2 linked regions of the Ovis aries genome follow. The protein of the gene in region 1 interacts with the protein of each later gene in a pairwise test. Links are inferred from orthologs where the notes say so. Each region holds a gene or a part of one and is shown on either strand. Other genes may lie near its edges. The genes, in order: TMEM218 and PCNA.

Evidence for each region.
Region 2: the proteins of TMEM218 (region 1) and PCNA interact in binary tests that used the Homo sapiens proteins (3 or more experiments, as listed by UniProt). The link is inferred for Ovis aries from reciprocal best matches to the Homo sapiens genes TMEM218 and PCNA.

Annotation. Positions count from the first base shown.
Region 1 is NC_056074.1:25,984,555-25,987,747, forward strand, and holds the end of TMEM218 (transmembrane protein 218), read right to left. Parts: intron 1,841-3,193; coding exon 1,706-1,840; 3' UTR 564-1,705; downstream 1-563. UniProt on the Homo sapiens protein: May be involved in ciliary biogenesis or function.
Region 2 is NC_056066.1:47,048,587-47,052,509, forward strand, and holds the start of PCNA (proliferating cell nuclear antigen), read right to left. Parts: upstream 2,316-3,923; 5' UTR 2,196-2,315; coding exon 1,975-2,195; intron 888-1,974; coding exon 790-887; intron 656-789; coding exon 588-655; intron 1-587. UniProt on the Homo sapiens protein: Auxiliary protein of DNA polymerase delta and epsilon, is involved in the control of eukaryotic DNA replication by increasing the polymerase's processibility during elongation of the leading strand.

The sequences.
Region 1 (3,193 bases):
TCCTGATGTAGTCTTGGTCAGGATACAATTTTAAGAGGCTATGCTGCAGTCCATGGGGTCACAAAGAGTCAGATACAACGGAGTGACTGAATTGAACTGAACTGAAATAACCTGTTTTCTTACATAGAAGCCCTGACTTGCTCTCCTCCCACCTCCCAAACAGTGGGATCACCAGTTTCTTTGCCACAGGATTCCCTCTGGGTAGCACAACCTATGCTGAGGCCATTGATCAAAGAACGACGAACGGCAACCCTGAGATGATTTCTGTTTGCATTTAAGGGACACCCTCTAAGCTCTGTCTCCAGGAAGGCCTGAGCACAAGGGGTACCATATTAACCACTGATTATCAGGGGTCCCCCCATAGAAATTAGCGAAATTCATTTTGTGATTTTGTGCTCTCTCAGCCTTCTATTTCTTATCCCATTCCTGTGGGGTGTTTTGTTTTTTTTTTTTCCTTAAGGGTTGGACATGATTGTTTTGAGCATAAAGATATAAAGTGATCCATCATTCACTTCACCACTGCCAGTAGTTATGGGATCTACAGAAGGCAGGCCGAGTTAAAATACCCTTTGTACAAAAGTTTATTTTTGCCCTTAACACACAGGCTTGTCATTTACATTTGTGGAGGGGGGGAAAAAAAGACTTGTGCACTACTGGCACACAGCATGTACTCTATCAAAGTTCTTTTTCCAACTTGTTTTCTGGTTCTTAATTTTCAGCCAGAAGGTCCTTCAAATAGTTTCTGGATGCCAGGTTGAGACTCCCAAAGTAGAAACAGCCTAGAGCTACTCGCCCCCACCCACCATTTAATGACAGATTTCACTTGGTCTGGGAACTTACGTATAAAGTTTTATCTAAGCCTGGGGATAGACATTCCTTATCAGCTTTGGAGAAAGAGCTACAAAGATGAAAGAGATGACAGTAACTCAACATGGACACTTACACTAAATAAAGGAACAAAGACCACCAAATACTGGGAGAAGAACCTAGAGAGAGCCGCAGGACACACAGCTGATGTTTCCAAACGCTGCCTCTAGTCCCCCCATGAACCTGAACTATTGCAATGCTAGCTTCAGGAAGCTGTGCCCAGGAGTTCGAGGTGAAAGTCAGTCCTCCGACTGCTGTTGACTGCTTTCTCAAGGCAGCGGAAAGCGACACCAAGGCCTTTGTGGAGCCCTGTGGTGTGACATGCAGAGTGCTGCATAGCTGGCATCTGATATATGTCTCCAAGTCACCACATTAAAATAATCTTTTGAACTTGGAGGGCCTTTCTTTCCCAAATGATCTTAACCTTGAAATTAAGTATTTCACATATTATCAAAAAGGACCAAGTTCTTCCATCCGTTGGACAGGTGAAGCTAAAGTACCCTTTTTCTCAAAATTCACTTGCTGATGTCTTGATTGAAAAACCTAAGCAGATCGCTGTTGCTATTTCCTTTTCAAAAGAGGTGGAAAACCTGAGGTACAGGTGCTGAGAAGACAGTGATATCCCCCTTAAGCTGGTGAGAAATCTTTCCTCGGGGGCAATTCTGCAATCCTGTTTCTGGAAGCCAGGACTCAACGGATTTGTCTTCGTGATGAAGAGATGATCCTCTGATCTTAAGGCAGGAAGGCTGTCAACACAAAGCTCTGAACAGTACCTTGCTGCTCACCAGTGACATCAAAGCGCGGGGGAGAACAAGGTCTTGGTTTTCCTGAAGACGACTCAGTAGGACCGCAGTGGTTTGGCATAGATTGGCTCCAGGATGTGATGGATTAGAACCAAGAAAAGGCTTCCAAGGAAGGCGGCAGTGAGGAAAGCCAGCAGGACATAGCGGCCAATGAAAAAGGCATCTACAATCTGGAGAAAGAAACATTAAAAGTGAAATTATTGACACGTCTGCGCCTTGACTGGGCTCAGCTGGAATCTCTGATGAATGGGCCCAGGATCTGTCCACATTCAGAACTTCCAGTAACATCCTGCAAATGGATAAGAACCTTTTTCTCAACATGCTGAGCCAGAAATACAAGATAAAGAGGAGCTTAATGAAAAGGCTTAATAAAGTACAGGGAACAAACATAGGCTTAATGTAGATGCATAAACAGTCTGAAGGCAAGTTCTTTTCTGTTCTGAAATGAGTTATCTGAAAGAATGAGACCCTTGCTTGCTTGGTCTCAGAAAGGCTTATTTTGTGGCTGTCAATTTTTCATTATGGAGAACTTTAAACATGTATAAAAATACAATAGTATAATAATCCCCTACATACTCAAGATTCAAACCCCCACGCAATCAACCCATGCTCAACTCAGGAGGGGTCATTTTCAAAATGAAAACGGGACTCTCAAACTTTTACCAGAGGAGTTCTGAACCCTAACATTTATAACCCAGCAATCCAAGGGCTGCAGAAATGGCCATTTACCTGCGGTCCTGAAACACTAAGAGGAAAGGAAACTTGTCCCAGTTTGTACAGTTGGCTGCCTGGCAACCAGCTGTACTTGAGGCCCCAGAGCTGCTGGTCTTTGCAGACAGAGGCCTGTCATTCATATTGGCTCTTCCCACTTGTCTACCGTTCACTGCTGGAACTCTGTTTTCCACAGATCCAAAGGGTGCTGCCTAAGTTTGGGCAGGAAAAAGCAGTTTAATCTACAGACTTAATAGAGGAGGAACACAAACCAAGTGACCAGGGACATCGCAACTTCCCGAAGCTTTCAGAACCTAGTACCTGAAGACATTTCCAAATACCTGCAGGGTTGTGGTTGATAGGATAATGTCTCTACAATGTCCACATCCTGATCTCCAGAAACTCTGAATGTGTTAAATTGCATGACAAAGGAGAATTAAGGTTGTAGATGGAATTACAGTTGTTAATCCATTGACCTTAAATAGGGAGACTGTCCATTCTCTGTCCATACCTCTGTGTCTCTATTCCTGCCCTGCAAATAGGTTCATCTGTATCATTTTTCTAGATTTCACATATATGCGTTAATATACGATATTTGTTTTTCTCTTTCTGACTCAGTTCATGCTGTATGACAGACTCTGGGTCCATCCTTGTCTCTACAGATGCCTCACCTTTGTTCCTTTTTAGGGGTAATAATATTCCATTGTATTTATGTTTTGGGGGGAAGCAGAGAGTAGGACAAATTGGGAGGTTGGGATTGACATACATACACCACCGTGTGTGAAACAGGTAGCTAGTGGGAAGCCGCTCTA
Region 2 (3,923 bases), on another chromosome or scaffold:
CATTCTACTAAAAAAAATGCAGATATAAAAAAGAATAATCATCATCATACTAAGAAACCAATTAGAACTTAAACTTTTAAAAGTAAATGCACTATCCAGGGAACAAGAGCCTCCAGCTAATCACTCTATAGGAGGTCTAAATCAAGAAGACATTAGTATATGGCATACAAATGGTAACAGCACAAATAGGTTTGCTTTCCAAAACAAGAGCGTGTTAGGCATTGTAAACATCTGAACACATCTTCTTTTGATGTTGATAAAACCTAACCATAATGAATTTCTGCTAAAATAGCTTTAAAATCTCAATAAAAATCAAGCACTCTAGGAATAATAATTTTTTTAAAAGATGCAGAGGTTAATGCAAATATGTCCTTGGCAGCAATGAATTCAAACCATAGCACTGTAGAACACCATAATTTAATAAAATGACAAATATATCAGTCTAAATACCCTACTCTGGAATATACATGAGCAGATATACAGAAAAGTTCTATTAGGAAGTAGGCTTTAAATTATTATATAAATATATGTTATGTAACTATCATAACTGTGTACAGCATGCTCAATCAGAAACTTTTGATACTCACTGGAATTCCAAGCTGTTCAACATCTAAATCCATTAACTTCATTTCATAGTCTGAAACCTTTTCCTGATCTACCAAAAGAAAGCAAATTTGAAGAAAAACACGTAAATTTACAACTAAGAGGTATATTTTACAATCATCAGACTTGGGAAATACACTGCATTTTAGTTTCCTCTGCCATAACTCAGTAGAAGGGTGGACTTACTTGGAGCTTCAAATACTAGTGCCAAGGTGTCCGCATTATCTTCAGCCCTTAAGGTAATGATGTCTTCATTGCCAGCACATTTTAGTATTTTGGACATGCTAGAACAGAGAAGACAAAGGGTTTTTAAACACCATCTTCTCAAGATCGTTAGTTTTCTAATGGAATTAAAATCAGGAGTTACCACTTTTAACCATTAGTTGCAGTTGTTTAGAGCGTAAGTGGTGTCTCCTGGACTGCAGCCTATCAGGGTCCTCTCTCTGTCCATGAGATTTCCCAGGCAAGAATACTGGAGTGGGTTGCCATTTCTTTCCCCAGGGGATCTTTTCCACCCAGGGATCGAACCCTCATCTTCTGCATTGGCAAAGTGATGCTTTACCAGTGAGCCACCAGGGAAACCCTTAACCAGTATGCCATCTGTCAGATTGGTGAGTTAGGAAAACGTACTGCACGGGGGATATGCAAGCCGGTCCAGACACTTTGGAATGCAATCTGGCAGTATAAACCCAAAAGGCCCACAACATACCAAAAGCAATTTCACTTCTGGATATAAATAAAAGAACAACATTTTATGAATTTCGAGTGGGTGAAGTAAATTATCGGGCCAACTATCTTTAAAAATGATCTAATAAACCTATTAAAGTACACGGCATGTACTATGGGTATTTATCATAAGCTTTAAGATTTAAACATGTGTAGTTCAAAAATTGAACGCCATTGCCCTGGAGAAAATTTTCAAGTCCAGGATCTTAGGGTGCTCACCGCAACTTTGCAGTAATAAAAGAAATACTCTGGTCCCTAGATAGTGTGACAGAACTAGGATACACTATAAAGCACTTTAAGTCAACCAGGACCAAGGTTTCTCATCCAAGTTGCTTGCACTTAACGACCAAAGCGTTCTGCAACAGTCTTTTCCTGAAACCGCAAAGTCCATCATTTTCCCGCCACCACACGCTTTGTGACTTTGGCGCGGAAAACAGCCGGTTCGCTGTTCGCGCTGCAGCCAGCGCGGGCTTTGCAAACCGCGCGCTCTGCTGGGTCCCGCCACCCGCCCAACTCCGCAGCAGGCCAATGAGAAGACGCAGATGGCCCACGCCAGCCAATGAGGGCCCGGCTCGTAGGAGCTCGCGCCAAGAGCCAGAGGTAGGAGCGGACCATGGCCCGGATGTCCGAGGCTTTGGAGCTCACCTGGTGAGGTTCACGCCCATGGCCAAGTTACGGTCGCAGCGGTAAGTGTCGAAGCCCTCGGAGCGAAGGGTTAGCTGCACCAAGGAGACATGAGACGAGTCCATGCTCTGTAGGTTCACGCCACTTGAGCTGATGTCCCAGCAGGCCTCATTGATGAGATCCTTAAGCGCCTCCAGCACTTTCTTCAAGATGGAGCCCTGGACCAGGCGCGCCTCGAACATGGTGGCGGAGTCGCAATGACACGGCTACAGGTACAAGGAGTGAGGAATGTGTAACCGGCTTAGGCTTCAGAGGATGAGAGCGAGAGGCAAAACACGATTACGAACGCCTGAGACGCCTCTAACAGCTAGCCGCGCCTGCAGCCGTTTAATACTGCCGCGTCTGCTAGCGCGCGCTACGTCTCCGTGCCCCTTGTTGATACGTCATCACGCTGCCCTCCCGCTGCCTGGGCGGAGAGACTGTAAAGCCAATCCTGTCCCTGCACTGCACGAAAGCCGCCCCACCCCGAGCATCCATTGGAGGATGCAGGTATGGGGGCGGGGCAGGAGCGCAGCGCTTCAGGGGCCCAGCAGATAGGCGTGCGCTGGAGTCTTGGCCGTTTTGTCATGTTCCGGCACCCGTAAGAGGAGTCCTTGTGAGTGTGAAAATCAGTCCTAGGCTGGGCGGGAATGGTCGATGAGCTGCGACGCTGTGCTGCCTCATCAGCCTCCCGCGTGAGGGGTAGAAAATTTACAGCCCTGAGTGAAACGTAAATCCAGGCTCTGTGCTCAGTCGCATCGGTTTGTCTGACTCTTTAGGAAGAAAAGCCACCTTTTCTTTAGCTGTTTGAAGGGAGGTACAGTTATGATTTAAAAAAAACAAGAAAAGTTATCTCCCTACTACCAGCTCTTAAAGCTCCTCCGCCACCTACACACAAATTGATATCATTTATTCTATGTAACTTTCTAAGTTTTTTTTCCTCTACAAGTATATATCTTTTAAAAAACAAAAATGAGTTCATGCCATAAAGAATTCAGCAAAGTGCTTACTAAAGTATGTTTAATTTTATGCCAGGTTCATGTTTTGTTTATCAGCACCTCTTAAAAAGATGGCATCATATCCTACAAATGTAACCTAACCTAACTGCCAATCTCTTGTAATTCGGGCAACTCCTTGAAGTAGTATTGTTGGATAGAGGAGCATACGCATTAAATTTTTGATAAATGTTAACTAAGTTGACTTCTAAAAGATTGTAATTTACATTCCAGCCAAGACTATGAGCATGCTCCTTGCCTCTAATTTTTCTGTTACTGGCAATCTAATTTTTAAATCTGTGCTCGTTTGTGTGGAAATTTCAATTTGCATATTAAAAGACTGGTGCAAATTGGATATCTTTCATACAGTTCTTGACCATTGCATGTTTATATTTTTTCTATTAAACTTTTTTCTGATTGATTAAAAGCATTTCATATATTAACCATCTCCCTATTATGAATATTCTCCCTTTGTTTCTTTTTTCCTTTGTTTACAGCATTTCTTTTTAGTTACTTCTAGTGTTTTACCTTGGTCTGTAGAATTCTTTAGTCTTTCTATCATGTATAGTGTGGATGTGGTTTTATTTATCCTGTTCATGGAATTTTTGTATTCCTCGGCCGAAAGATTGATGCATTTCATCAAATCTAGAATATTGTCAACCATTATGGTTTCAAAAATTCCCTTTCCCTACTCAATGCTCTCCCTCTAGTATTTCTATTAGATGTGTCTTTAATTTACTTTAAAATACCTTCAATTGTAAGATACTCCATTATTTTATTAGCACAAGAAAATAAAATATGCACCTATCCTATAATAAATATGTAAAAGCACACACATATATAAAAGCACTCGTAATATGTCTTAACATTCAGTTTCTCAGTCAGTTGCTGATAACTGCTGTTTTTTCCATATATCACCGCTGTCAAGGCTGTGAA